Linked DNA regions of Struthio camelus. The protein of the gene in region 3 interacts with the protein of the main gene of each other region in a pairwise test. Links are inferred from orthologs where the notes say so. Each region holds a gene or a part of one and is shown on either strand. Other genes may lie near its edges. The genes, in order: MAPK1IP1L, TAX1BP1, DAZAP2 and POGZ.

The links.
Region 1: the proteins of DAZAP2 (region 3) and MAPK1IP1L interact in binary tests that used the Homo sapiens proteins (3 or more experiments, as listed by UniProt). The link is inferred for Struthio camelus from reciprocal best matches to the Homo sapiens genes DAZAP2 and MAPK1IP1L.
Region 2: the proteins of DAZAP2 (region 3) and TAX1BP1 interact in binary tests that used the Homo sapiens proteins (3 or more experiments, as listed by UniProt). The two-hybrid records come from large-scale screens. The link is inferred for Struthio camelus from reciprocal best matches to the Homo sapiens genes DAZAP2 and TAX1BP1.
Region 4: the proteins of DAZAP2 (region 3) and POGZ interact in binary tests that used the Homo sapiens proteins (3 or more experiments, as listed by UniProt). The two-hybrid records come from large-scale screens. The link is inferred for Struthio camelus from reciprocal best matches to the Homo sapiens genes DAZAP2 and POGZ.

Annotation. Positions count from the first base shown.
Region 1 is NC_090946.1:79,478,911-79,486,435, reverse strand, and holds the start of MAPK1IP1L (MAPK-interacting and spindle-stabilizing protein-like), read left to right. Parts: upstream 1-4,510; 5' UTR 4,511-4,643; intron 4,644-7,525.
Region 2 is NC_090943.1:39,462,318-39,469,941, forward strand, and holds the start of TAX1BP1 (tax1-binding protein 1), read left to right. Parts: upstream 1-4,622; 5' UTR 4,623-4,787; intron 4,788-4,809; exon of another isoform or gene 4,810-5,171; intron 5,172-5,222; exon of another isoform or gene 5,223-5,343; intron 5,344-7,624.
Region 3 is NC_090969.1:2,097,691-2,105,644, forward strand, and holds the start of DAZAP2 (DAZ-associated protein 2), read right to left. Parts: upstream 3,018-7,954; 5' UTR 2,878-3,017; coding exon 2,865-2,877; intron 394-2,864; coding exon 272-393; intron 263-271; exon of another isoform or gene 36-262; intron 1-35. UniProt on the Homo sapiens protein: In unstressed cells, promotes SIAH1-mediated polyubiquitination and degradation of the serine/threonine-protein kinase HIPK2, probably by acting as a loading factor that potentiates complex formation between HIPK2 and ubiquitin ligase SIAH1.
Region 4 is NC_090971.1:208,892-216,748, forward strand, and holds the start of POGZ (pogo transposable element with ZNF domain), read left to right. Parts: upstream 1-4,840; 5' UTR 4,841-5,247; intron 5,248-7,857. UniProt on the Homo sapiens protein: Plays a role in mitotic cell cycle progression and is involved in kinetochore assembly and mitotic sister chromatid cohesion.

The DNA.
Region 1 (7,525 bases), on a different chromosome or scaffold from region 3:
GGAACGTTCTGTGTTTCCTTTCTCCCTTCTTTTCCTAAGTAGCTGGTACTGCCCAGAGTTAGATGGGACGCTAGGCTGGCTGGACCTTTGATCTGTCCCGCTATGACTAGTCTAGGTTTTTCCTCCAGGGGAGTATGTGTGTTTTGTGTCTATATCCATTAGAGAATCAGGGCTGTGGGAAATGTTGACTCTACTCTTAGTGCTAGGCCAAAGCTTTTAAGAATCGGCTACTCCTTACCTCTCCTTCCTCTTTCCCAAAAAGAGCTTGACTTACAGTTGCAAGATTGGAATAAAATAAAATAGAGGGGACTTTTATTTTCCTTTTTTTTTTCCCCAAGCCTTTGAAAAAATGAATTTTCAAGATTGTCTCCACAGCAGTGAGCACTTGAAAATATGGTCCCTTAGAGAATTAAAGGCCATAATTTCATATTATCTGACTGTAGGAGCTGTGGCTGTAAGCCAAACAGCAAATGTCACAAAACTCATTGAGAGACTGTGAGGAGTGCAACATTAGCCCAGGAACCACAGTTTGTGATTGTCTGGACGGGCAGAGGAAGGGGGAAGGGAAGACTAGGAGGAGGATCGATAAAGGTTCGGATCCCTAAGGAAGGCAGGGGAACTGCGGGTCCTTCTTTGGGACTTGGGAGAAGGTGGGCACTTCTCTGGGAGAACACACAAGAAGCAAGCATGCCTAAAGTCCCCCGGCTACCAGCGCTGTATGGTGTTTTGTGCAGGAGGCCAAAGTGACAGAAGCTAGAAGCAACTTGAAGGGCTGAAGTGGCGTTCGCATGAGTTGCCAAAGTTCTTTTCTGGTCAAGCTTTAATTTTTAGTACTTTTCAAAAATTCCTTTTAGGGAATGGAAGATAACAGGAACAGGTCCCAATAGGTGGGTTTCATTGGTGTCGCATAGAGAGGAATTTTCTAATTCTTATTCACTGAAGAACAACAAAAAGTGAAAAGTAGCTACTGTTACTGCTGTCAGATATAATCAGTAGCTCAAAAATTTGAAAACAAACTCATGCAGTAGCTTGACACATAATCAAACCTCTACATATCCACCACTATAGAAAGAAAATATACCAAAAAAAATCACTCCTTGTCACAGAAAACCCTGTGCATTAGTACCTAAGTGACTATCAAAGTGTCTTTAATGACAGTTCACCTGTTCATAATTGCACAACAAGCAGAGAGCAATGATTCCTTTCCAGCTAAATCTAGTTTATCTCATCTTCTCAATAGGGTACATTTGCCATGCCAGTGCACTTTGAACCAGTTTTATGATTTTATCTTCATGGTCACAAGCCTCTGCCTTGAGAAAGAGCACTTATTAACTAGAGACTGTGTCATTTTCAAAGTGATTTATTTTATGAGGGTTTTGAAATAAATTATCAGTTGGTGATTGGCCACAGGGGAAAAGCATATAAAAGCTTAGCACATGCATTGAACGTACCATCTGGTATCCTTTAAAGTCTAGCTTCAGGGTGGCTCAGCTAATTCTTCAGAGTGCATAATGTTCACAGTGCACAGTGAAGCATGAATATAAAAGTGGAGTGCCATAACCCAGTAAGAAACAACGTTGTAACTGTAGCTTAATATCTTACATCTTACTGTTGTAGCCCACCATCAAAGGCTGGCGTTTTCTTAACTAAAACTGATTTTGCATTCCATAACTTTAATCTTATTACAAAAATCAGAACTACGCCCCCCCCCCTCTTTTTTTTCCCGGTTAGTTCTAAAAGGGATGCCTCCGCTGTGTTTTAGATTTCCTCATTCTGACTCGCTGATGTAAAAGCAGGCGATACAAAAAGCATACTGTTATTGTTCCTCTGGATATCTTGTTTGTGGTATGCACAGCCTTTTGGGTGTGATAAAGTTTCCTGACTCTGATGTTTGTCACATCTCGAGATCTCTATTATTATCCCTGAAAAGCACTAAATTCTGACTTGTTGGGGACCAGAAGCTGAAATACAATGATATATAATTGAAAATCCGGTAGGAAAGGTACAAACACTGTCATTGTCTCTGCTCCCACATTCCCAGCGAGACTAAGGTATATCCTTCAACAGTGTACTCACAAATGGTCATGATATTGCTTAAAATGCATAATTCAAAGCTTACTTTAAGTATTGTCTATTGGTCTTTTCCTCCCAAATTCAGAAAGGCTAAGGTAGACAATTGTACCCAGTTTTGCCATTAAAAGACGAGAGACGTCAACAAACTGGAGGGAGCTCAGAGGAGGGCCACTGACGTGCTTAGGGGATTAGAGCACATGACATATGAAAAGAGGCTGAGAAATTTGTTTTTTTTAGCTAGGAGAAGAGAAGGGGAGGATGGCTCTAATTGCTGTCTCCAGCTACCTAGGGGGTTATAGAGCAGACAGATGCTTCTCAGTTGCAGCAGGAAAGTCTGACTAAGTACAAGAAATAAATGCTTCACAATGATAGCACTGAAGTACCGGGCTGACCGTCCAGGGATGTTGTGCAATCTCCATCTTTGGAGATATTCAAATGCTTCACAATGATAGCACTGAAGTACCGGGCTGACCGTCCAGGGATGTTGTGCAATCTCCATCTTTGGAGATATTCAAAAGGCAACTGAACAGAGTTCAAAGCTAACCCTATTCTGAAGGGGAGACTGGTCCTTTCCAACCTATATATATATATTTGACTCTAAAGAAAAACAAAAGTTGCATATGCTTGCAATGTCCTGCAGCGTGGACCTGTGATAAACAAGTGGCATGTGTATTATCACATGTCTTTCTGAATAATTTCAGTAATATCATCACAGGTCCTATAATGGAGGCATGGAAAATAACGCCTCTTACTAACTGGGAGCCAAGTTGCTTCTGCGCGGTTGCCATTGTCTTGCTTGAGAGCTGCAGGCCAGCAATAAATTTGCTATTTCAACCCTTTTTTTCCCGTTACATATTGAGAATGAACAAGGAAGTGTCTTCCAGCAGCATGTGGCCAGGGCTAGGTGCTAGGACCCCCAAGTGCTGTTGCTTGCACCGACTGGATCAGCCGTACACAGACCAAGTGAAGTTGCATTTGCAGCTCTTTTTACAACCTTCAGCGTATACATGCATGCAGATGAAGAAACACATTTGCCCGAGCAAGCCGAAAACTGTGTACACAAACAAATATTTATAAGAAAATGCACAACCCTTTGTTTCGGCAGAAAGGGGGACACGTTTACGACGTGTCAGATGGTCTTAACAGCAAGGACGGCTGGCGAGGTTATTGATTAAAAGCGCCGTCACCGTCCCAGCTTGATACGTAAGGTGAGGCATCATAACCCGCCTTAGCCACATGTGTGCTCGTTAATTAAGCTTTCTAACGACCAGACTGTGCAGGAAGAAGCGGGCATGCTCAGGGGACGCCCGCTGCCACCGCGGCGCGACGGCAGCCGAGGGCCCCGCGGCAGCCGCCTGGGATGGGCGGAAGATGCATTTCGCTGTTATTCGCTCACTTTTCCGAGCGAGGCCAAGGCAGAGGTGGTGTTTCCACAAGGACCGAGCGTCAGTGATCGCCGGACACTTGAAAAGGCGATTGCGAAAGAGCTGTGAAGTCAGCCTGAGTTTTCCACGGGATTTAATAATATTCCGAGTGAGAGGATTAACTGGCTTTTCACACCATCACGGGACCGGGTGTGTAGTAAATTGTTTAGGTAGTATGAATTGCGCAAATAAATTGCTTCAGTAAAAATATTTGCACTTTCCTGCCTGTCGCGGCGACTGCGACCCTTGGGGCCTGCTCCTGCTGGTGGTTTTTCCCTCTCCTTTCGGAAGCAGGCAGGATAACGGCGCTGAAAAGCGCGTCACAGTTTGGGAAGGGCAGGGCAGGAAAACGACGGTATGTATTTAGCCGTCATGGCCGTGACGGTCTGAAGGGAGAAGGTAGGTAGGTAGGGAGAGGTAGGGTCTTTTATCAGAAAACCTGGAAAACCTGCCAAGTTTTCAGGTGCGCAAACCGTCTTTCAGGTCCCAAAGGCCAACGCTAAAACTGGCTCTTTTGGGTAGCTCGGCCACGCAGCCGCGACCGCCATGCGGGGGGCTTCCGCGCTCGCCGAGGGGAAAAGCAGAGCGCGGGGAGGCAGGAGTTAAAAGTCCCTCCTCTCACTGGAAACACCCCCGGCGGGAGGCAGAAGTCACTTTGGTGAGGTTTTCCCGATTCTCGGTTTCCTGAGGAAGGGTTTGGGCTGGGGGGGGGAGGGGGGAAAGGGGCCCGTGGCGGCACCGCGCGCGAGCCGCGGCCGTTGGGGCGGCGGCGCCTCCCCTCAGCGCTAACGGCCGCCGGCCGCTCCCGCTAGGGGCCGCCGTGGGGCGGCGGGAAGAGGCGCCACGTGACCGCGGCGCCCCGCTGAGGCGGGGGGGGAGGGGAGGAGGAGAGAGGAGGGCGCGTCGTCACGTGACCCGCGGCGGTGTGGGCGGGGAGAGGGCGGGGCCGTCCCCCTGGGGAGGCGGGGCTAAGGAATACGTGACCTTCCGGTAGGTGGAAGTGGAGGGTGCTGATTGGGTAGTGGGGTGCGTGACGTAGTTCCGCTTCCGCCTGGGCGTCGGAGGGTGGCGGTGCAGCTGCCGGGCCGGTTGCTCCGGGCCTGCGTCGCCGCCGCGCTCCTCCCTCCATCCCTCCGTCCCTCACAGGTAGCGGCGGCGGCCCCTCCCGCCCGGGCCCGGCCCCTGAGCGAGCGAAGGGGGAGGCGGGGGGGCTCCCGGCCTCGCCGCATCCCCGGGGAGGGCGGGCGGTGCCGCCCCGCCGCGGCCCTCGGGCCCTGCCCTGCCCGGCGGCGCGGGCAGGGGGCCCGGGCGGGAAACGGACTCGGCTCGGCTCCCCCGCGGGGTTTCGTGGCGCAGCTGGCTCCTGCCGGCCGCCGGGGCTTTGCGCTTGTGCGGGGTCGGCTTGGCGGCGGCGGCGCGCTGGGGTGAACGGATGCGCCTGAAACGGTTTCTGTGTAATGGTGGTATTTAGTGTGTCGTCACCGGGTGAAACATATCGCTAGTTCCTGTGTGCGAAATGCCTGTAAATGACTGTCTAAATGAGCGTGCGTGATGTCAATGACTGTTTAGCTCCAAAATTCTTCCTTGCTGGAGAAAATCTTTGGCGAGTCTATTTTCCATCGCTTGTGGGCATGTTTATTCGTTTCATGAAATGCAGCATGTTTAAATTTTGTAAGGTAGCTGGCTTATTGGACAAGCTAGTGCAATGCTGTATCGAAGAACATATTGCCTGGGGAGAGAGCTGCTTAAATGGCAGATTTCATCTGTGGGGGAGAGCTCAGTGTTTCTACTGGATCTCCATGGAAAACGGCGTTGATCTGATGCTATTCAACTTCATTGTCAGTGGATGTGAGAGCAAAGGCTGTTGCAGCTTTTTAAAACAACCACAGAAAAAGCTCAAAGGCTGCAATCCCAAGACCTGTGAATGATGCCAAGATGTGTGGTAAATATTAGGCCAATCCTGGAAAGCATTAAGTTCATTCAAGGAAAGTGCATCTTAACAGTGCCAAATCAAGATGAAAAAGGTACAGCCTCGCTCCTTAGATGTGGCTGGTATCCTGGAAAACCAGTTATCCTGGAAAAGAAGCTCTATAAAGTAGTGGAAAAGTTCATATTTTCTACTGGTTACTGTTGAGACTAGAACTGGGATCTGGCAAGCAATTTTGGTGCTGTTATGCATTTGAAAGGCACAATTGGAGAGGATGTGGAATAGTTACCCTCAGGGTCTGTCTGCTTAGTTTGTCCAGAAAAAAAAAAAGCTTTTAATTGCTCAGTATGTAGCTTCTGTCAGAGGAGAACATAGGTATTCTTTAAATAGCTCTTACAGCTAGTTCAGGAAGACTTTTGAAGATTTGGTAGTTGGAAGCTAAAGCTAGAAATTAGAAATAAAGCATATTTTTTAAAGTGAGGATAGCATGAAAATGGACTCTGTGACATCCAAAGGAAGTGTAGATGCAATCATATGGAAGATGCGTCTTTATTATTGTGGGCTGCTATTGTGAGCTATGTGTCTTCTGCAAGACTCACGGTGTGGGAGTAGTGTGGACAAGAGAAATGTTATTGGTTTTATACCACAGCTGGCAGACAAGCAAGCCACCTCAGAAGTCATGCATGTTTTGCAGTTTTGGGTCACCACATCACAAATGGATGGACCATCTGAAGTGATTAGGTCCAGTGTTGGTGGGGAGGTAGCTGTGAAACTGAGTGGCCTGTCGTACGTGGAAAACTGAAACAGATTGTAGTTCTTTCTGGCTTTAAATTTTGCAGTTCTTAACCATTTAAAACCTCTGTTTTAAAGAGTTATTTTTCTTGTAGTTGATGATCTCCAGTGATTGCACAGACATGCATCACGCTTTGTTGTCATTCTTAATTAAATCTGTCTTGAAAATAATCTAAAAACTAAATCCTACTCTTGCCCTTTCGATCAAAGTAGACCTGTGAAAGGGCAAGAAGATCATCAAATCTAAAATAGCTACCAGTGATCTGATGACTGCTTTTTCTTTCTCATCTGTGTATCAGTGTTATTCATCTGGAGAATAAATACCTCTGCAGGTCAGACTGAATGATCACATAGTGCACAGCTGGATAAACCTGGCTTCCAAGAAGGCATTAAAGATAGGGAAAGGACAAGTAAAACATGTTGGTGCTTAATGACTGAAGGCAGAAGCTGCAGAAATTTGCATATTTTGGAAAACACTTAGAAGCTGTCAAAGATTTGGTCTCTTTTCCATTTTATCGGTATAGCTATGTTGGTAGTTATATTTATGTGGGCAGAAATCTTGTTGTAGATGAGGTTATGCTGGTAGGGAATTAGTCATGTTACAGTGACAAAAGAACCTTTTTGCTGATAGAGGCATGCCACCCAGTGGAAATGCAGCTTATATCAGCAGAGTTGTTGCATGTAGAAAGCATTTTTCTGTATTTGAGAGAGAATCTTGTAGACAGGAACTAAATCTGGCACATCGAGCGTTCAAAAAATATCATGCAATTCAAAAAAAAATTGTGAAAGCAGTTGATACTTTGTTTGGGGTATTTTTAGCCGCTCCCCCCCCTCCCCCCCCAAAAAAAAAAAAAGTTTTAGACAGTTCATTTTTATTGTGGTCATTAGGGATTGATGATGGATAAAAGCCAAAGAGGGCAAAGCATGGAGGAAACGTTACTACATCTCTCTGTTTCCTTTGGGTAGGATATGATCAGAGAAGGGCTTATAGCTTAAAAGCATTGAACTGTTTTATTTTGGAAATGGAAGGATTTAGCCTGTTGCATGTAGCACCATGCTTCTATGTATTTCAGTTGGTCTTGAACACTGTTGGTAGAATAGGAGATTATCAGTGCTGTGTAGTAGGGCTTCTCAACCTTTCTGCAGTGTAGATCCCAACAGATTTACTTGTCTTAGCTACCTGTTATTAATTAATTCTCAGGAGTAGTTCCCAGTATCCAGGAGTCCATGGACTCTTGTCCAAAGGTTGTGCTATATATGGTTTCTGAGTAGGTGCAGTAGAAGTCTGTGCGTTAGCCCTCTTGTCACT
Region 2 (7,624 bases), on a different chromosome or scaffold from region 3:
CTCTTTTGGGAAAAGCCACAAATTTCATCAATCTCACTCATACAGATTTAAAAATCCTGGCAGCTTTTGAATAGCTTTTCTTCATCAGTTGCAATTAAGTGCTGGAAAAGAAATCCAAAATATACAGAGAGAGGCTTTCGCCCTAATAGTAAATGTTACCAATAGCGTGCAATTTCTAGTATGTTCCAAAGGTTTGCCACTCCATCTTTCTGAAAGGCAAAGTCTGTATGCCCCGTGATTAGATTTCCGTAAATGCTGAGCAATTCAGGGTTGTCAGCCATAATATAAAACATTATTTATAACTGTTTAACTGTTTCAAGAGTATAGTTAATAGTTTTCTGTAACGTGATCTTAAAGAAGTTGATTAAGTGTGCTTTACAACGTGACCAGAAAGAGCTTCCGATTAGTGACATAGTGATACATATATTTTACATCTCACATGGCCCATACTTTTAAAAGTTGGGAGTGTTGAAATAGGAGTTGAACCAAAATGAAATCAAATCATTAGAACTTGAGCATTTCCTTACCACACTTCATCAATATCATCATGTCATGCCAATACACTGAATATCTACAACATAAAGCACCTTTCTCAGGTACTAAAAATCATAAATATGTAATTTGTCTGTCACTCATACAAAGCAGAGATGGGCCTCAGGGGAAGAACTGAGGTCTGGAACCAAAACTCCTCATGGCTTTGGTTCAGGCCATAATATAGTTAGTAAACAGAAATAATATTAGGATCTGAATCTGAGCACATGTTCAAATACACCCAAGGTTAAACAGACGTGATGGGGCCCCATTTCTAATTTGAAGGCTATAAATTACTAAAGGAGCTCATATTTTTAAAAAGATACTGAAATTACGCAAAAAGTAAACGATTTCCAAATATTCAAAAAAGTCTGTTCCCCAAGAGGCTGTAACATGCCTTACACTTCCTTTGGCCATTCTGTTTAGTGTAGTTTTTATTCGTCACTTATCTCACGCCTGAGAAGGGACTTGTGCAGATTTCATGCGGACAAAGGAAGACTGAATGTAATTACAAAGCAGAGGGATTTTTACACTCTGTAAGTACCAGCCTGAATTTCAAACCTCTTCAGAATCTAGTAATGTTCAAATTCAATAACTGGATTCACATACATTTTTACCTTATTTAGTGTTTCTGTCAAAACCACAATTATCAACTTGCCATTGTTTTTCTGTCCTCATATTTACACGCTTAAGAAATGTAGACACTTAAGAGAAGAGTTCTACCAGCTTTGTATTTCCAAATAAATACTCTGGTGAGATATTTTTCATCAACAATATAAGACAGATATTCTTTAGTAATTGTATATTTATGTAAATAAAAAGAGAGAAAACTGGGGTTTTTTTCAGCCTTAAGAGGAGAAGGCTATAGGGAGATCTTTTTGCCACCTACAGGTAAGTGAAGGATGTATAAAAGATGGAGCCAAACACTTTTCAGAGGTGCACAGAGAAAGAACAAACGGTAACAGATAAAATTGGAATGCAGGAAATTTACAGTTACATATTATATTATATATTACATATTATACATCATATTATATATTACAAATATATTACACATATGTTATAATATTATATATTACAAAAATATACAATTTTTTTTTTTTTTTTTTTACAATTAGAGTTGTCAAACACTGGAACAGGTTCTCTAAGCAGCTGTCAAATCTTCACCCTTGGAGATGCTAAAAACTTGTCTGGCCAAGGCCCCAAGCAACCAGCTCTAATAAAGTTCTGCTTTGGAGGTCACTTCCAAACTTCATGGTTCTGATTCTATGACATACATGCGGCTAATTGTATCAAAAGATACTTGACATTCACTGATTTTGCCTTTCAAAAAATCAAAATATTGGCCAAACACTGATTCTACATGCTTAGAGTACAATTCTGATATACATGATAAACATATGATTTGGTGAAAAATACCGGCTTGATCGACAACCCCCTCCTCCTGTGTTCTCATTTAAATCAGTGGGGCTGAAAAGGTGAAAGTCAAGCCAGAATCTGAGATAGGATTAACACCATCATGCCTGTAACAAGCTTTTCTAATTGAATTAGTGTATTAGTATTAGCCACCCACATGACTCACCAGAAATGTTGATATCAAACTTACAATACTAAGTATTTTGCAGCAAATGTAGGCAAAGACAATAACAATGTTTTGCTACTCAAGAGCAAGCTTTCCAAAATATTTATGTCACATGGATGAATTTCAGGAGATAGTATCTAATCTTCCTTGCCTAGAAAATTCAGACTGATTAAGGCATTTAACCATTAATTCTAAGACCAAGTACAAGTTTCACCAGTGCCAAGCACAATTTTCTCAGTCCAAACCTTTGTTTGTACCAGTACAGACACACTGACTGTTGATCTCGGAGTCACAGTGCACAGCTTGTCAATGTGGGTGAAGTCCTTCATATCTCAAAGCAGGACGAACAAAATAAGAAAAGGCTCTGAACACTCTCTATATAGGATATTTATGAATTCTAGAGGGTGAGGCTGGTATCTAAACTTAGGATACAAATATGTAAATAAGAATGCTAATTAACTCATTTAATTATTTCAGTAAAAAATCTGCTTAATTTGAATAACAGAAGGACCAGTTTTAGACTTACACAATCAAGATACAGAGTTAAAGAAATTACATATTTTTCTGAAAGCTGTGGCTGTAAGTACAAGCAAAGCCAGGATTATTCCTGATCTATTTTTCCTTAATTAGTTTACATTGTACATGTGACAACAGGCATATATAGTTTGTTTTGCCTCCTTATACATGCATTTAGCAATGGAAATAACTTAATACTGAATTATTACTAAACAATATCTCTTTTGGCTGAATGAACATTTACGAACTGAGTACAGAAATACATGAGGATTCTTTAGAAACTCAGAACTGAGGATAAAGTTTTTTTATTAGGAAATGGAGGGGTTTTCCAGGCATTCACTGTAAAAATTACGCTAGTTGCCAAAGAACATCTTTATTTCAAACTACCCATTATATTCCCATAAACTAGCATCATAATGACGTTAAGTGAAAGCAAAACTGCTTGCTAGTGTCATCAACGTTTACACTACCCAGCTAGTGACTGTAAAACCTCCTTTCTTTCCGCATTCCAGACCACAGAACAGTGCCTTGAGACTCTTTAACAGCCCTGTATCACATGTGATACAGGGCAAAGAGCAGTGAGGAGAAAAAATGGAGGACAGAGATAAGAAAAAATAGGTCTCCCCACCTATTTATTGCTTTTCTGATTAACGCATCAGCTTCATTTTCCATTACAAACATCCATCTGGCCTTAAAGGAGAAGACTACCTCCTATACACCTCTCGTGTCTTATAAAAGGATCTGCAAGTAAAATGCAAGGCATTTACTGGTTTCCATGGATAGTGGAATATACGTTTACTGTAAGAATTATGAATTATATATAAAAATCAAAGGGTTACTTACATAATAACCTGTGGTAGAAGTGAAGTCCTAAGAATAATATTTTAATATTGCTTCCAGTGACAAGAAGTGCTAAACAGAAGCAAAAAAAAGATTCATTTTGATTACTTGAAATGACAATTTTAGTGGTCCAGTTTATTTTTGTTTCCGTTAGGACTGACCATGAGAAAGCTATGAAAATCTATGACCATGAAAAACTTGCCAAAAAATAAGGCCTATGGTAAGCCAATAATTTTGTCATAATATGCCTCTCAAAATAAGCTGTTGAGAACATACATGAAAATACAGAAGAAAGAGCGGATCGTAAGGAGGCAAAGGTTTTAAAGACAACTTTCAGTAATGATCCACGTTCAGGGTACTGCAGGAAGTCCAGAATACTGATGATTACAGATAAGTATTTGTTGTCACTCAGCCTCGTTCTTCTGATACACGATCTAACGCTCGACTTTGGATAAAAATCAAGTAGACTCAGTGTATTTATTAGATAATGTACTTTAATGGAGATACGCCAATTTACGCAAGCAGAAGAACTGCATATACTGTAAGTATTTAATATCACTCTTATCTCACTCCTTGGTTGGTTTGGGAAGACCTGCAAAAGCTGGGAGATTAATAGTAGTGACTTATGAGGTGCAAGCACGCGTGTTTTGGATGGAAAAAGAGGTGATAAAATTAGGGTATGTGAGTATTATAGAATGGTCTAAGCAATGGTCTAAGAACTAATATGCAGAGAACTTTTGCAGGGGGCAGGTGCATTTTATGGAAGTAACAGCTGCACAGTTTTGCATATGCTAGGAATACCAGCTTGGCTAGGCTTTCTCACCCCTCTCCTTCCCTGAAGTACGCGCACCGTCTTGCATAACGAAGCAAGCTGTGCAACATGCTTTTTACGTGTGGTGTAAGCCACGGCTCCAGTGCCAGCTGGGCTGACGCTGGCAGGCTGGATACCTAGGGGCTGAACGGGAATGGTAAAGGGCGGGAGTGCCCTGAGATGTGGTGTCCAGGACGTGGCGGGGGGAAGAATCCTTGGAGAAACAGACCTGGGTGTTGCAGCGCCGGGCCGACGTGCGAGAAGCCTCATGACGACGCTAACCGCCGCCGCCCTCCGTCCCCGGGCGGGCCGGCCCGGGCCGGACCTCCGAGCAGCCCTTCCGACGCCCGCCGCCCCACGCCGGCTCCAGCCGGTTCCCGCTAACGGCCCGCCCCGCGGAGGGGGAGGGGCGGGGTTGGAAGTGACGCGAGCGGGAGGGCGGGGTCGTGAGGCGTCGATGGCGGAGGCCCCATGTTGATGTCCCCGGCGTCCTCCGCGCCTGCCTAGGTAAGGGGCCCTCTGCGGCCGGGGGGAGGAGGGGGGGACGACGACGAACGGGTCCGGCGCCTTCTTTCTCTCCTGCTTTCCTCCTCTTCCTCCTGCCGCGGGGGCGGGCGCGCTGTTAAACCCAGGGCTTCTGTTCTGCGCCATCTGGGTGCCTCTCTTCCTCCCCCCCCGCCCAGCTGCCTTGGACGGCTGGTAGTAGTGTGGGGGAGAGAGGAGCCGCGGCCGTTGGGGAGGGCGGCGCGAGGGGCGCGGCGGGGCAGGGGCGGCCGTTGGCCCCCGCCGCGGCAGCTGCGCAGGCGGTGCCGGAGGCTTTGCGGAGGCCGAGGGCGAAGGTGATTCGGGCCGGACAGGCGAGGCCGCGCGGGCGGCCGGCGGGGCAGGCAGGTAGGCCCGCGGAGTGGGAGGGAGGGCCCGGCAGGTAGGGGCCGGCGGAGTCAGGTGCGCCGCTGGCCGGGCCGTGCGGCTCGTCTTGTTTTCGTGTTTCCTGCCAGACAAGCTTGTCCTCCTTCGGTGCTTTTCGGCGTGTTAAAAGCGGAACGCCTCTTTCGGCCTCTCGGTGAGAATGGCTTGTCACGTCAGTAATAAAGCCTAAACGTAGCTCTTCCTCCTCCTCCTCCTCCTCCCCCCCCGGCTTTTCTCACACCGGTAGCTGTGAGCTAACTAAGCAAGCACCGAACATCCCCTAAGCTATTCTTGAACTGTTAGTGGATATCGGCTTCACCTAAGCTCCGAGGATTTTGCTGCTGGTGGACAGTAATCCCAGGTGATTCTGCTGGTCAGCACAAGTTCAAATTCGTAGTTCTGCTTTGGACTTGGAAAACAGATTCCCTTTATTAATGGTTTCAATAAAGATAATGCTCAGCTGTGGTAGCTGGCTGACCAGTATGCAGAAATGAATGCTTTGGGTTTTTTGTAATGTTTTCTTGTAATAAACTTCCCGGTATTTGAAATAGACCTATTTCAAAAAATGTTGAATTCCATTGCTTTTGTTATTAATGCTTTGCTTATTTTTTAACTTATCCTAGGTAACAAAAAACGGATACAGTCTGTTTCATGTCATTATTATTTAGCTTCAGAGACTACTAAATTATTAAAAATGAATGGGTTTATTACACTTGAAAAAAATAGTGACTATTCTGTTTTTTGGGGGGAGGGTTGTAAAAAACAGTTTTTTCTAAAGTTTATGGTTTGGAATGTTTTTGAGAGGTGTCTTGGATATAACTTTCTGATTGGGGGGGAGTGGGAATTTTCAGAGTTGTGCTAAGCTGTAGAACTTGCTACGCTTCTCTGTACCCTGGGGCTCTATAACAGACTGGATTTACGTGTATTCCCAAAAGATGTACTTCTTTATTGTCTCTAAAAAAGTTTTGTCTTTTCATATTTATTCGGATTCTTGTTTGTGTAAGTTTTTATCTTTGTCTAGTCTTTATGTCTGTTAATTTTTACTAGTAAGGCATTTTACATTTTTTTACTTGTGTTGTTCAGGGTACAAAACTGCTTTTTATTTAACATCCAATATACCAAAATAATGCTATGGCTGTCCATATGTACTACGTGTGTTACACTAAATGGGATGGTAAGAGGCTTAAAACACTGAGGGCTTAACTTAAGAGGTAAACAGAGATTTTTTTCTACTTGTTCAGACAGATGAGTATTTTTTTATTCCAGAGTGCATTTTATTTCAGAAAATGTGAGCTTTTCTTATTTCTTCACTGTTGCAAAGAAATTTTAAAAGGCTCTAGGAAATATACAGACAGTTCTTAATTGAGACTTGAAGTGGCCCATCCCTCTTTGGGATTGATTTCGTCATATATCTTCAAAAAATATTATCTCACACACTTGGCAGTAATCTCATTCAGGGTACATATTTGCTTGATCAGCATGAATTTATTTTTAATAGCGGTTGCAAGAACAAAGCAGCTCTTTTGGCCAGAAATGTAGTGTTAAATATATAAGGCCCTAATCCTCCTAATACCAGATGTTTTGACAAACTTATGATTGTAGACTGAAATCAGACAGTTGAAACTTAACCAGTTGTCCATCTTATCTTTTTGACAGAGGTGGCCGAATCTAAGGAAGGGAAGTTCTTGGTCTGTTTATGAAGCATCTCTTGCATTACTGTAGTTTTTTAGGGTAGTGTAACCTGAATGAGGTGGTGAATGTGATAAATGCTTCTACGATCTGGTTGAATTCAGTGTTAATCCATCCAACTTGCATATGCACCTGAATGTTCCCACTATCATCAAGTTCACTGTTTATGGCAGTAAAATTAAAAATGCAGGGCTAGGGGCGTATGTGTTAAAGCACAGTACAAGATGCCCACAGACTTCTATTTTCCTGAAGAGAGTAAACTCTTTGTCTAAACAGTTTTTTTTTTTTTAAATAAACTTTCTTGTTTGTTAAAAATGTCTTAAAATGAAAAATTGTTAGTTTTGCTGAGAGAAAAAAATATTTATACGTAAAAATGCTGTCAAAAGCATTAAGTAGCACAAATTCTGGGAAGAGTTTTAAAGTAAGGAAAATTATGGAACTTTGTTTCTCCTTCCCAGCAAGATTCAGAAACATTAAGTTTATTTCATGCAAGTCAGAACCCTTCTTGATTTTTTTCCTATCACTGCTTTTGCTCCCTACTTTCTGCTGCTGTTTCTGAGGTATAGTGTTGGGGGCATTCAGCCCAGGGATGTCTTTTCTGTGATGACACCAATATGAAGAGATGGCTACTCTTTCATTATGAGAAGTGATTGTTTTGGAGTGATGCTGAGGCAGTGTGCTTGGGAGACCTTGACCTATTGCTGTCTGGTTTTGGAACAGCAGAATTAGTTCTTAAACTTCTGTCT
Region 3 (7,954 bases):
AGACAAGTTAACTTAGATGTATTTTAAATCTACAGGTTGGCTAAATTTGTCATCTTAACTCAAGGGGAAGCTGAACAGTGTTTGTCGCTTCAAGTGGATGATTCGGGTCTCATGCGAGAGACTGTGGGGACCGACTGCTGCCCAGCGATACGAACAGCAAACAAATCTTCCAGGCTAAGAAAATCCCTGCAGCTAAAAACCTCCTGGAAGAGTTTTCTCTTTTGGAGGGGCCCCAGAATAAAATAAACCTTAGGAGAAGGATCCTGCGTACCTCAGAATAAGCAGGAGGTGCGTCCGTGTATGGCGGCGGCTGAGGAAGGGCCATAGTCTGTGGGTACACGGGAGGATTGCCCGGAGACTGGACCGGGTAGGACGGCTGGGTGGGATATTGTCCTGCAAGGAAGAAAAGAATTCAGCCAGAGTCAGAAAACGCTCCGCGAAGCTGGGCAGGAAACTGCTGAGTTTGCGGAAAGCCCCTCTTTTCAATTCTCACGTGAGCAGAGTAACGGATCTAGGAGCGTCTGCACACAATGAATTAGAGGCGTTTCAGTCGGGGCCTAATAGCCAAACGGAGAGTGAAAATCCTTTCCAGGAATCAGGCTCCCGAAAAGGGCAGGAAGCCTGGCGAAGGGAGTCAACCCAACGGCGTCGTCCCCGGTCGCCGCTCGCGCTCGGACTCGCGAACTCTCCAGTCGACTCGCAGCCTCAGATTTGGGGCGATGCGGGAACGACACCGCCCCGAGATCGGGTTTCTCTTTGAAGCTCCTAGCGCGTCGCCACCAGCGAGGCTTCCAGGGAGCATCTCTTGGCGATCTTAACGTTTTATAACGCAAGACCCGTCCCTCCGTCTGCCTCCCATCCCGAGAAACAAGTGCTGCGTTTGGCTCGTACTGAAGAGAAAGGGTGCAACGCGCTTTGTACTGCCAGCAAAACAAACCAGATCTGACGCGGAGACGATACCTGCCACCCCTGGGCCTTTTAAGCTGGAGCAGAACAAAGATCATGTCTCCGTGACATGTCTTTCACCTGCCAACCTAAGCGGTTTCAGAACAGAGTTAATCTTTAAGTGAAGACTGTTAGGGAATTGCATTTAATTGCTCTGTCGCATCCGGAGGTTGCCAACACGGTTCAAAGAGCAACTGGTGCTACGGTCCGAGCTCCGAAGGCGTTCTTCTCCCCAAGCCGGCACAGCGGTTGGGAGCGAAAAAAACAAACAAACAAACAAAAAAGCAAAAAAAAAAAAAACCCCTGTGCGTGCGTTTGGGTGCAGGGAGGGAGGAAGGGGCGAGCGGGGAGCTTTGCCGTGGCACGGTCAGGCCAGGGCCGAAGCGCGGCCCTGCGGACATCTCGGCTCCCTCGCAGGAGCGGAGACTTGGAAGGCGCCTCGGGAGCGTGAGTCAGGTTGGGCCGGAGCGCTTAGCAGCGCCCTTTCGCCGCCGCGTCCTGCGGGAGCCGGCCGGGGGGGGGGTCCCGCGGGTGCCCCCCCACCCCGGGGGGGGTCCCGCTCCCTATGCTGTCCCCCGAGGGTGAGGGGTCACCCCTTTGCATGGTAGGTGGGGGGGGGGTCTCCCCTACCCCAGTGGGTTCCCCCCCAGGGGGAGCCCCCCATCACCAGAATGATCCCCCCTGTCACCGGGGGGTCCCCTATATCATTTGGGGGGGGGGTCCCATTCCTGCATCCCCTAAACCCAATGGGGGCCTCTTACCTCATCCGGGGGTCCCTTATGTCATCCAGGGGATCCTGCTACACCAGCTCCCCCTACATCATTGCAGGGTCCCCTAGGTCACCCAGGGGGTCCCCCTGCTCCAGCCCCCTGCCCCCAACGGGGTCATCATCAGGAGGACTTTATGTCACCCAGGGGGTCCCCCTGCCCCCAATGGGGCCCCTTACATCATCATAGGTTCCCCTATGTCACTCAGGGGGTCCCCCTGCTCCAGGCCCCCCCTCCCCAATGGGGTCACCTTACATCATTAAGAGGTCCCTATGTCATCCAGGGGGTCCCCCTGCCCCCAATAGGGTCACCTTACATCATTGGGGGTCCCCTATGTCACCCAGGGGGGTCCCCTTATATCATTGAGGGTCCCCCTATGCCACCTAGGGGGTCCCCCTGCCCCCAGTGGGGTCCCCTTAAATCATCAGAGGCCCCTATGTCATCCAGGGGGTCCCCCTGCCCCCAATAGGGTCACCTTACATCATCGGGGGTCCCCTCTGTCACCCAGGGGGTCCCCCTGCCCCCAGTGGGTCCTCTTACATCATCGGGGGTCCCCTCTGTCACCTCGGGGGTCCCTCTGCTCCAGTTCCACATCAACATATAATGGGGTCTCTCTGACGTCATCCGGGGGGGGTCCCCCACTCCAGCTCCCCCCGACGCCTAATGGGGTCCCCCTGACGTCATCCGGGGGGGATCGCCGCTACGTCATCGGGGGGGGTCCCCCTACCGCAGCTCCCCCCTCCCACGTGACCGGGGCGGGGGGAGGGGGGACTCCGCTCCCTACGCACACGTCACCCGCGGGGGGCGGGGTCCCGCCTCGCCCCGCCCCGCCCGAGGCGCGCGGCAGCCACAGGGTTAAGGGCCGGGCCGAGGCGCGCGGCGCCATGGCGACCCGCGCGCGCGCCCACCCCTCGCTCCCATTGGCCGAGCGGCGCCCGCGCAGCCCCGGCCCGGCCGCGGCGTCACGCGCTGCGGCGCGGCCCTTAAAGGCGCCGCGCCCCGGAGCGGGCCGGGGCGGGGGGGGCGGGGGGAGGGCGAGGACCTGCCGGGAGTCGAGTCGATGCCCGGGGGGGGGGGGGGGAAGGTGGGCGCGTCGCGGCGGGGCCCCCGCGTCCGGGCGGGGGGCGGGGCCTCGCGCTGCCGGGGCCTTGCCTTTGCTGTTCATGGCGGCGGCGGCGGCGGCGGCGGGGGGAGGCCGGGGCGGCGCTGGCGGTGGCGGCGGCGGTGGCGGCGGCGGCTCCCGCTCTGCCCGCTCTGCCGCGCGCTTCCTCCTTGTTGTCACTGCGGCGCTGAGGGAGGGGGCAGGGCCCGCGCGGGGGGAGGGAGGGAAGGGGGCGGGGCCGGGGGGGAGGCGGGGGCGGGCGCTAGCGCCGCGCTGCGCCTCTGCGTCATCACGCACGAGGGGCGGGGCCTGTGCTCTTAAAGGGGCCGTCGGCTTCGGGGCGAGGGGGCGGTGCTCGGCGGAGCACCGCCCCCTGGGCGGGGGGTGGCGCCCCTAAAAGCAGTCGGCCTGAGTGGGGCCTGGAGAGAGGGAGAAGGCCCCAGGCAGGGTCTAAGAGCAGGGGCCTGGGGCCTGAGTGGCCTATAAGGGGCTAAGAGCAGTTGGGGGGGGGGGGGCAGGTAGGGCCTAGAGTAGTAGGGGGGCCCCAAATAGGGGTTGGGGGGGGAGAGAGGCCTCTAACTAGGTCCTAAAAGCATGGGGGGGGGGCAGCCAGGCCCCATAGGTGAGGGGAGAGCCTACACAGGGCCTAGCAGGGAGGGAGAGGTTCCCTAGGCAGGGCCCAGAGTAGTTTTGGGGTCCTCAGTTCAGGCCCCAGGGCAAAGGGGGGGGCCCTAAACAGGGCCTAGTATGGAGCCAGGTGGGGCCTAAAGTAGTTTTGGTGCCCCCTGAAGAGGACCTGGGGGATAGGGGACCCTGAATCAAGAGCTAGTAGGGAGGGGTATCCCCAGGCAGGCCCAAGGGTTGGGAGGGGGAGCACCCTAAGAAGGGCCTCATGTACAGGGAGGGGTCTCCAAGCAGGGCCTAGAGTAGTTGTGAGGTCCCCAAGCAGGCCCTGAGGGAAGGGGGACTCCAAAGCAGGGCCTAGCAAGGAGGGAGGGATCCCCAGGTAGGGCCTAGAGTAATGGTGGGGGTCTCAGGCAGGGTCTGGGGGTGGGAGGGGGGGGTCCCTAAGCAGGGTGTGGGGGTGAGGGAGGTCCCTTTGCAGGGCCTAGGGGCACTGAGGGGTCCCTGGCAGGACCCAGCCTGGCCCAGCTGCCTGCGCTGTCCAGCAAGAGCCTTCGCAGGGCTGGGGTGGCACCGAGGAAACGGAGGGGGAAGAGCCCCTGGCGCTCTCCCTGCTTCCTCTGGGATTAGACGCAACTCAAGAAGCCACCTTCGAGTTCATGCATAAAAGATCAATGGAAATGGTTGGTAACCTCCAAATATTGTTAAGCTTAATTAAGCCTTTAAGGACTGTGTGAAGCATCAGTGGGCAGAGCTGCTCGTTAGCACAGTGAGGGCTTTGTTGGTTACTGCAACCTGAGCTCCAGGTTATGTTAGTTCTTCTAAACCGTATGCTTGGGGCTGTTGTTAAAGACCCCAAGTCCTTCCTCAGACCCCATTTTCTGCTTCCCTGTGGCAGTGAGCCCACAGCTGCCCCAGAGACCTTCCTTTCGGACGGCAGCATCCTGCAATGGGACCCATCGGCGTTGGTGTGCCCTCCCCCAGCGCGTGGGGAGGGCACAGAGCGCCTCTTGCCTGCGTTAAAGAACAGGCTCCTTCCTGGAGAGACTGTAATGTGCCCTTCTCGCCATGAACGTAGCCAAAACGTTGCTAAGAAGTTGAAGGTAAAGATGCAGGAGGAAGAGTGCGTTTCTTGGGCTTCGGCCCTGCTGCTCCCCTTCATCCAGCAATAGCACAGCAGTACATTTATGGAAATAACAGGTCTTTGGTTCAAGCACCCTCTTGCCTTGAAATTAGGCCCACTTTTGCAGAAGTGGGCAGTTCCCACCCCCTTGGTGCGTTTGCCCTGAGCACCTGTCAGCTGAATCAGCGCTTGTGATCTAACCTTAAGAGACTTCCCCAATTGTAGCCTGTCCTTTAAGGACTTTGGTATGAGCTTAGGGTCTAAATACTGTTATAAAAATCTGTTGCAGATTGCTCGATAGGGTTTGGATCATGCTGTCATCGTGGGACTTCAGACATAACAGGAGCAAAAGTAAAGCTCTTCAGCGAGGTATGGATCAGCTGCTATGTACAGACCTGTTGTCACGATCCCCTGCCCAAGATCCACCAGCAGAAGGTGCAGTCACAAGTCTGGAGCTGTGTATGGAGAAGGTATGATGCAATTCCCTAGTAGTTTCTATGTGTAAAGTCTTCCTTCTTGGAAATGAGTTTAAAAAAATCCATATGGATTGCAATAAAAGGAGCCCAAAAAAAAAAAGAAAACCAACCCCCCTTTCTTTCCTGATTTTTTGCTAAACTTTCTATCTGCATTTTGGTCAGAGTTTGAGGGCAGAACCTTCTTTATCAAGCTCATTTTCAGGCATCTCAATCAACAATATCATTGTTCTCTTCCTGTTTAAGTGAACATCTCATGAATAATGTACCGGCTGCCTGATGAATATGCACAATGGCTGGTGTGCCTGGGAGGGCTTCATAAATGATTCATGCCCAGAAAATGTTCTTCACCTTGCAACTGTACGGGAACTGTAAAAAAATATTTACCCTTTAAAGTGGGAGAGATGGCCTGAAACCTGCCCAGGGAAATGCTGAGTGAGGTGGGCTGGAGTTAAGCACAGCAAAAGCAAGGGAGAGCACCTCCAAGCAGTGAAAGAAGCTGCATCCAGGAAGGTGATTTCCGAGCTCTGATTTCCCCCTCTACAACCCAGTCCTGGAAAGCCCCAGAGCTTGCTGAAATCACTCAGAAACGAGGCTGTTCAGCAGCTCCCGAGTTCAGGCCTTATTTATTCTAACAAATACATGACTACTTCTGCTCTGCTGACATCCCTATACAGAGAGCTTCCTTGCACAGGAGAAGTGAAAATGCTTTGGGAGGTGCAAAGGGCAAGCATACACTTTCCATTCAGAAGGGCCAGGCTCTTCAGAAGGCACCTACCTTCAAATGCCTTGGGATTGTTTTTATGTGTATTTTTATCACTGATTACCTTGTTTAAGGGCCTCTTGGGCCTCCAAGAGGAAAACTCCAGTTACCATCAAAAGCTCTGGAGGAAGAAAAAAAAAAACCAGCTCATGGTGTCTTGAGCTGTGCGGTCCCAAAATGGAAACCTGTGAAAGTTGAGGCAGCTTCTGGATGCTTGGCCGTGTGCCAGCGGGCTTTGCTTCCCACGCCGGGCAGTTCTGAAAGGCAAAGGGACTGTCTGCAAAGAGCCGGGTGTCGCCTTGGCACTATGCAGGCATCATGCAAAACAGATGAAGGCATAAATGGTCCCAGTCTGCCTTTTGGGTGAGCAAAGGCCCACTCTGGAAGTCCTTATTTACCCGGCGGGAGGTTATTTAACCCCGATGGAGAGCAGAACTGGCTTGGGTAATACCTATGATTTGCCACTTTAAGAACATGTGAAAAGTCAGCTGAGGATGCTGCTGGCCTCACAAGCAGGTACCTGTTTGTGAACTTTGCTCAGGTGAGCAATCAGAGGTAACAGGTTGTTTAAGGCAGTGAGCACCCTGCAGGTGTAGGCCTGTAACTAATTACCTAAAAATAATGACTAAACAATTGAGAATTACTTCATGATATCTTCCACCTAGGCAACATTGTGCCCTTCCTTTCACCACCAATGAAGTTCAGGGGGTTCTGTCCCCCTTGGCTTTACGTTGGGTGAAATTTGGTCCCAGTAACAAAGTGACATAAGGAAGGCCTGAAAATCCCATGGGAATTTTAGAGCCTATTTACATCTTCCGGGGAGAAGAAGAAGTCCAAGGCCAGATCTAGCATGGTGCTGGAGAAGCTGCATTAAGTCCCCTCTGTGACTGCTAAAAGCATGTGCTTGAGCTCAGATTCAGCACAGTTTGTGAGCAACTGGAGTCACTTTGCTGCATGGAAGCCAAAATAAAGTCTGGCTTGCTTTTTCCTGCACTTTCAGTCACTCTTGGAACATCTGGAATAAGCTGGTTCATGGAATATTTGTTCCTTGTAGGACTGGAAACCATTCTGTAGCAAATTAGATGTGCCAGAAACCACATGGTCAGGTGCAAACCCTTCCCTGACCCATTACTGAATCTGATTAGAGCAGCCAAGTCAGCAAAAGAAGTGTGGACAAGAAAGCTGCAATATTAATTTGGTCACCTACCAAGAGCTCTCATCGACAGAGCAAGCTCTGGAACAAAGGACGCATTCTTACAGTCAGCGTTTTAGTTTTACCAGCTATTTCTGTCGAATGGTTAATTAAAATCCCCATCCTCCCCCCCCCCCGCAACAAGCTATTTTCCTGAAGAAAAAGCTTTTTCGGCACTCATAAAATCAATTCCTCTTGAAGAAAAATTAAAAATGCAATATGCACCCTTTCCCCATATGCATTATATTAAATAGTATGCCAATGTATGTAAATGAGTCTGAAATTCAACTAGATGGAAGTATTTAAATATTCATAATCACAGTACAGCATATGCAAACCAGGCTCTCAGCAGAATTGCGCTGCAGTCTCAAATAACAGCTGTACTCGGGCAAAGATGCTTTAACACAACTAATTCGATTATTAATGAAAATGTGGTCAGCGCTGGTTGTATGTTTGTTAACATTCGTGCAGTGGTGTTAACCTCTGCCAAATGTTAAGCACGTGCTTAATTCATATCGAAGTCGGTGGACTCTAAGTATAAACTTTAATGATTTGCCTACACATCACCTCACCGTTTGCTGAGCTCCTCTAATTTGTTGCTAATCTGCACTAAATATTATCATATTTTGTTGGTAATAAGAGGATAGTCTAGTCTACGTTATGTTAATTCGAGAAACCTTTCGATCCACACAAGAAAGGATGTGGGCTAGAATTTAGCCTCTGAAGAACGGGACGTGGTGTTTACGCTTTTTTAACATTAATGCATATTACCTAAGTTCTAATGTATATACTCACTCATGTATAATCAGAAGTGCATTTTTGAAGTGAGTTATGAATATCTTATGATGAACCCGGAAAGGTGAGCATGAGGCACGGATTTAAAATTAGTCCATTAGCTTTTTCTACAAAGAAAGACAGAAGGTGTAATTCTTTTCAGCTGATATGGATGTGAAAGAATGAAGTAA
Region 4 (7,857 bases), on a different chromosome or scaffold from region 3:
AATACTTTTGTTGCTCAGTTAGGCTCTCTCAGAAATAAGGAAGAGAGACCTGTATGAGCTGAAGAACTGGACCCCAATGATCTTTAGTGCCCATATTTGTTAGATTAAATGTTTGGTGCCTTTTAAAAAGAACTCCTAAGGTTTGATCTGAAACCTCAGTATTTACCCTTATTGCACAAATATGCATTCAAATAATAGCTTGTAATTGTGATATATCTTCTTGGCAAATGGGATCCAAAACTTCAGTAAGAACTCTAAAAATATCCTTTGTTCATGGGCTCATTTGTTTTCAAGAGGAAATATCTTTATAAATGTAACTCCAAATGCAAAGCTCTAACTGTTAATCAATTCCCCTAGGACCTCATATTGTAATAGCTTATTTAACTAAAAACGAACAAACCAACAAACAAACTTTAAAGGATCCTCAAAAAAGGAACAAAATAAATTGTGCTCTTTGCTTCTCTACAAGATGTTAAAACAGCCTGGCAGATTTTCACCCTAGACATAGAAATTTAAATTTTTAAAAATGATTTTAATAACCTTTTCAAAGATACAGAAATGGTAACTGAAACGTGCACATTTAGGAGCTATGTAGTTTAAAATGGCTTAAGTGAAACCCTAGTTACTCATTCCTATCTCACTGTATCCGCTAGGTTGTACAGAAACAACAGTGACCAAGAAAAAAAATGCTCTACAAATTTAGTTATCATTAAGAAATTCTGGAGAGAAGGGAGAATTTATAGCTATAAACTAAATAACTTTAGCTGAAAATGTTGTACTCTGTGTTACACCTTGCCAATATGCATGAGAAACAATGTATTTAAGAATTAAATTGAACATGGAACTAATTAATAGGTATCCTCAGGCATCACAGTGACCCATTTGTGCAAAATATTAAGGAAAAATATTTAATGGAGGATTCCCCACATCCAGTCTTTTGAAATAAAACACCACACTTGATTTCTGCTTCATGGATGTTTCCAGGGGAGATTGGTAAAAGCATTTTAGGAAGATCTAGAGACATTTATTTCAATTTTTTTTTGAGAAAAAAGAAAAGTTCAAAACTTTATATGTAAGTTAAAACATGTGGATGCTTTAAACTTTCAGATCTAAGGAATAATAATTAAACCTTAAATTTAAGTTTGAATACAGTGGTATAAGTGAAATGGAAAGACAGTTCTGTAACCAAAAGGAAACAATGAAACGTCCTACACTTGAAGTGCAGACAAATGAATTGAAAAAATCAGAGAAAATTTGACAATTTGACAATTAAGTAGTAAGCTCGAGTGTTTTGGGCCACCAGCATGACTCACTGCATAAGCATCTGTCTGCCTTCACATATGTGGCTCAACCTATCTGCCACAAGAAAAAAAGAAGTCTCATATATATATAAAACATGTACATACACACACACTATATATTAAATATATATTATATATAAAATTTTGTTTTCATATTGTAAGTTGCATTCTCAACATTTGTTTCTTTCAAACATATTCGAGTGGAAATTTATGCTCCCTTGATATCTTTATTTGTTCTTCTGGCCAGCCCCGCACTAAATTTTTCTGAATATAGTTAAGAATTGGAAAATGTCTACATCTCGTTCCACTTTCAGAGCTAAAGTACATCCTTGCAAAGAGTTTCTCAGCTATTCTAATACCATATTGTGAAACCTTTTGACTTTTTGCTTTGACACCAAGGAGGCTGCAGGTGGTTATAATCTTAGACCCCTGGCAAAAGCCTTACACAGCAAACGTCCAAAACACTGGCAACCTGCAGAAGCAAAACAAAATATTCTAATTTACTCTCTTTGAGATATGTAATTTATCAACTGAGTTTTCCTGTGTCAATCAAACTTTTTACTAAAATTTAAATTACATTAGGAAAACGTGTAAGGATTATGTTGGGATGCATATCTGGACCTGCTTTACCATCATACTTAGATTGGTTCATGGATGCTGACCTAAACACAGTCGGTTTTTCTTGTGAATGAGTAGTAAGGAAAATAGTTTTTTTTTTCCCACAGATATTTACTTTCTTTGCACTTCAAGATTTTTTTCTTTTTAGCTGCAGATCATCAATGTAAGCACCTGTAGTGCAGCAAATCTAGTAAAATGTCCAGGGTGCAGGTACAGTTGCTATTTATTGGATGAAATGCAAATGTTCACCTATATACTGTAAAATATATGTAACTAATAATTTTTTCCTAAATAAAAAGGAACTTTCTTTTTGGAGCAAGAATATCAGACTCCTGTCTAACTGTCCTAGTGAATTTATGCATTTCAACAGCAAATGAAAAAATCTCATTTTATTGTACTCCCCCAAATAGAGAACTTTCCTTCTGTTCCACTTGTGAATGAAAAACAAAAAAACTCATCAGTTCTGACATGATTTAAAACAGCTACATTCTGTCATTAATTTCATTTGAATTTGGTATCTGCAGTACACACACTGGATAAAGACAAAATCACCATGGTCAATTCTTTTTTTCACTTTAGGTATAAGAAATATTGCATTTACATGGAAGAAATCAAATTTGGGATCAGTAAGTGATATTTTCATTGGTGAACACAAACATTATTCATCAGTCAGTACTGTAAAACTTCATCAGTAAATCCTAGTTGCTATTGACATCGGAATTCCGATTACAAACTAACTTTTTCCATCACTAGCAATGCCAGTATTAGTGGCTGTTTTCCTTTTTATTCAATGAAAAATTACTTTTTATGCATAGCTTCTGTCTCCAGATGACATTTTTGGAAAAAGCCAGTGAAAGTTGCTAGTACTATATGAAATAATTAAATAATACTTCATCCAAGGCAGAGGCTCCAAAGTGCAGTCAGGAATACAAATGTATAACTACTGATAATAGTATTTGTTATTATTATCAGTGGCATAACCACAGAAGAGAATGTGGCCCTTCATGTTGCATATATATATACATATACATACATATATATATATATATATATATATATATATGATTTAGAGATGACACACAGTTAAATGAAAATGCTTCCCCCCTTCAGTATGACGTGAAGTTGCCTGGTGTACTGTACAAACTAGGAAGAATGACTGGTAACTCATGAAGAGCAACAGAAGAAAATTAATGTGCTTGCTTAATGAACTGCAGAATAATAAATCACATTCTAGCAACACATGGATATCACAGCAAGGGGGTCCATTTGGGAAATATACTACCTACCAAATTCCTAAATAGTTTTTTCAAGAATGAATAAGCTAACATTTCAAGGATGTTGAAAACAGGTTAAAAGAATTCTAAAATCTATACACGTATTTTTGTTAAATACGTTAACTATTAATACTAACCACACATTATTCTCAATTCTCTTCAATTATCCTCACCATATTCTCTTCAATATTCTGCCTGTACTGAACGCAGTTAAAAGCTGTATGTCCTAGCATTACTAAATTATTCACAATAATATGTTTATTACTAAGGATATAAACCATTTAAATTTATGTTAGGGAGAAACACAGTCACTGATTTTATCTGTTGGCTTGACAGCCCAGGACACTTACATGGCACTGATCCAGCAAGGTACTTAAGCAAATGCATAATTTTAAGCATTTACATAGTTGCTTTGATTATATTTGGATTGTTTATATACTTAAAGTTAGGTACGGGTTTAAGTATCCACTTAAGCAAAGCCTTTTTATCTCTGTGGACAGCTCCTAAGGTTGGTCTGTACTGCTATATCTACGCGCCTCAGTTCTGACTTCCTTGCAATCTCTACAGAAGCTGTAGAAGTTTATGACAATTTAATCCTTTGTCTCCTCCTTGAGGCTGTCACTGAGGGATGAAATCACTGCCAACTTTTGATGTGACTGAGTTTTTTTGAAGGGCTATGCAACTATTTATCTCTACTTTCTATCAAAAAGGCCTCAAATTTTGTGGGCCCTGGACATCTCTAACCACTGAGAGTTATCTTCTGGAGGTGGTTGTTTTGAGACCCAGCCACCTGAGAGGCATTACTAGCCATGCTACGGAGCTGAATCCCAGCAACGCCACCAGCCACTGAACCAGTTACCCTTTGCGGCCGATGGGTTTCAGCCCTGTAACCACATCAGCAGCTCTTCCCATCTTTCCCAAGACAGCTACTAGGCTGGCTTGACTCTTGGCCACACCAAAACCACCAAAATAAAACTCTGCATTGTAACTTTCAGTCCTAATCATAACATGAACCACCTGGTTGTCGCTGCGCCTACGGCGAGCCGTCACCATCGGGCTAGCTGAAGGCCAGCAACCGCAGCGGGGCTGAGCGCAGCCAAGGAAGGCGCGAGGGCCTGAGGGCCCGCGAGGGCACCTGCCCCGGAGCCTGCCTACACGCAGCTGAGCTCCCCAGGCTCCGGCGGCGGCCCCGGGAGGCGGTCGGGCGCCGGGGGCGCCGGCCAGGCCTGGGGGCCGCCGCAGGCAGCCCCGCCGCGGGCGCCCGCCCGGCAGCACGGAGGCCAGGCGTCGCCGGCGGGGCAGGGCGCGCCACGCGGGCCTCGGGGCAAGGCCTCGGCGCGGGGGAAGCCCGGGCCCCGAGGCGCCCCGCGCGGCGGCGGCGGCGGCGGCGGCGGCGGCTCCCCGGGGGCGGGGGCGCGGGGGCGCAGGGGCAGCGGCGGCCGCCGGCGGGGCGGGGCGGGGCGGGGCGGGGAGGGAGGGGAGGGAGGGGAGGGAGGGGAGGGGGAGCCGAGCCCGCCCCGCCGCCTTTGCGCCTCACGCAAACTTGGCCAGGGGCAGGCTAGGGTGCGCCGGCCTCCCGGTGACGTCATCCCGCCGCGCGCCAATCCGCCCGCCGCCCCGGGGCCCAGGAGGAAATGACGTCACCGTATCCCTCCGCCGGCCAGGTCCCCTTTTTTTGTGTGTGTGTGTATGTGTGTGTATGTGTGTGTGTGTGTGTGTCTGTGGGTGCCTTCTTGTGTGTATCAGCCCGCAGGGCTCTTTTTTTTTCCTTCTGACAGAGCGGGGGGGGGAGAAAAGCGGGGAGTCGCCCCCTTCGCGAAAAAAAAAATATATATAGAAGAGAGAAATTAATAATCCTCCTCAGCATCATCACAATAGAGGTTCCCGCGGGGAGGGGGGGTTGGGGAGCTCATGCCACCTGCCCTCCCCTGCCTCTCGCTTCGCCCTGAAAGCGGCGCCGTGCGGGGGGGCGTGTGTGTGTCACTTTAAGAGCGTGTGCGAGCAGCCTCGGCGGAGGAGGCGGCGGCGGCAGAAAGAGGGAGCGAGCGAGGAAGGTGAGTTGGCGCCAGTCCGTTATGTGGGGGCGGGAGGGCGGCGGGAGGAGGGCAGGGGGCCGCGCGGGTGGCGGTCGGTGACCGTTGGAACCGGTTCGAACCGCCCGGGTCTGGGGGAGGGGGGAGCTGCTGGGGGGGCGGCGGCGGCGGGGCCAGCGCGCCGTACACAAAGCGGCCGCGAGACGCTGGCGGCGGGGAGGAGGGAGCGCGAGCGCCGCGGCGGCGGGAGGGAGGGCTCGGGGCTGCCGAGGCGGAGGAGGGGGAGGAGCCGCCGCGGCTCCCGCTGGGCGGCGGAATGCCGCCGCTCGCCCGCCCGGGCTGGGGGAGGCGGAGTGATCCGCGCACCCCTCCCCGCACCCTCCTGGAGGGGGGGAGGCGGTGAAGCGGCCTTGGTGGCTCCCTCCGCTTCCCCCCCTCCCCTTCGCGCTCCCCCCCCCCCCCCCACCGCGCAAACAAAACACCTCGGCGCCGAGCGGTGCCTTTTCCCGGCTCACACAGGGCCCCCACTCCCCCCCCCGCCGGGGGAGGGGACGGCTGCATCCTCCCTATCTTACCTCCCCCCCCACCTTTCCCGCGGCTGGTGCTGGGTGGGCGGCCATGTTGGGCACAGGGATTATTTTTCTCTCTCTTTCTTAGCAGCCACAATAAACTGAGGACGGGTTTTGCTTTCTTCCTGTGGATAAATGTCCTTTCTGCCTTTCTTAAGGGAAGTTAGCAGTGAGGATAGTCTCTGTCTACTCTGGAGGGTGAGAGAACCCCTTTTTGGCCTGCCTGTTCTCCACCGCTCCATTACCTTCCTGGCTGAGGGGATCTGGGTTTGCCTGCCTAATAACCCTCTCCGCAGGAGCTGACCGCTCAGGAACAGGAACTGCTTGACTTGTTGCTCACCTGTGCCTTCAGTGTCATCTTTCCTGTCCTCAGGACAAGACAGGTGCCACCACATCAGTGTTGGACCCCTCCCCCCCTTCCCACAAGCATGCCTTCTTTAGACTGTTAGTTACTTCTTCACCTTGTCCCCAGTGTCCAGTGGAAAAGGCTCTTCCCAAGCACATCAGCTTCTAAGTATGTAAAGAGGGGGAGGTTTGTTTTTTGTTTTTGTTTGGCGTTAGGCTGCAGGTCCTTGTACTGTACTTGCTTGCTGTACTTGAAATCTTGGATTCCTTGCTGCCCTTGGCCAGCACTTTTTCCCTGGTCAGCAGCATGCCTTGATCTACCTGCTTGCCTGGCCTCTTGCTAGGCTATAGTAACACAGTTTGGTGTGCCGGGTCGGGGAGTCAGTTTAGTGGGCTCCTGCATTTCTCAAAAGATTTGGTCCACTGAAAGACTGTATGGAAACACCCCATAGCTGATTCCTCAGGCTACAGGTATTAAAAATTAGATGTTTGGTATCATCAATGCATTTGCTTCCTTTTACCTGGTCCTTACCATGCTACTGCTCAATGCATTTGCTTCCTTTTACCTGGTCCTTACCATGCTACTGCTCTCCCTAGTATGTGGGAAACCTAGACTGCTGCTATTAGGCCATCCTTTCTTCTTCCCCTTGTCTATGCTGTGACATAAAACGTGTGGAGATGTGGGAGAGGCATGAATTCTGCTGCCCAAAACCCTTGCAGAAAACATGCAACACATGACAACACACACAGCTTTATTTTTATTAACTTGGCAGCAGTTGCAGCTGTCACCAAGACATGCCAAATGGGGCACAAGTGAGTGATTGGAAGTGGGGGGTAGAGGAAGGGGAATCTGTTGCTTCTTTTAGGAAATACTTTGCAAGGATATACAAATTGCATCCTCTCTTTCCTAGATCTCAGTGTATACAGTATAGTAGTTTGAGGTTGTCAGATGTTAAATTTTATCTTTGAATGTAAGGTCTAGCTTACTGTATGCGCATCTTTTTTTCTATTGTAGAATTATTAACATACGTAAAATTGTCCAGTGGATTATTAACATAGGTAAAATTGTCCAGTGGATCTTCCCACCCAAAGAACTTCCTCTGCCTTGCTACTTTAAGCTCTAGCTGCGGGTAGGGTTCTGCAAGTGTTACTTGTGGTTGGTCTTGTGTTTATGGTTATATATGGTTACATTGTTAGTATGCGTGATCCCCACAGCTGCTTAGATACTGTCACAGAAGGTACAACTGTCTTCATGCAAGTAGAGCCTGTGTCCAGATTGAAATTAGTAGAGTGCTGTATAGTGTCTACTCACAAAAGAGCCAGTTGCACAAACATAGCTATAGGCATGCTCTTGGACTCTAGAAGCACAGGCTTGCAGCTTATGGGTAGTCCTAGGGTCACAAAAGGTGCCAAAGTGTTAAGCCAGTCTGCAGAGGCAAATATCGGAAAGCAGTACATTTTTATTGTTCTGCAATTCAAACATGAAGGTAGATAATAATCATGATAATTGGGTGTGTAATAATAATACATTTTAATTAGTAGGCATTGCACACTTCAAAGCCTTTAATAAGACATATAAGACTTAAGATGATAGTATTCATAGAAAGTTTAATAAGCCTTTTAAAATAATTTCAGTAGCCAGCAAAGTCAAGTCAACCACATCAGTCAACAAAAATAAATTTACCGTCGCCTGAAGGATATAACTGTTCAATTCTGG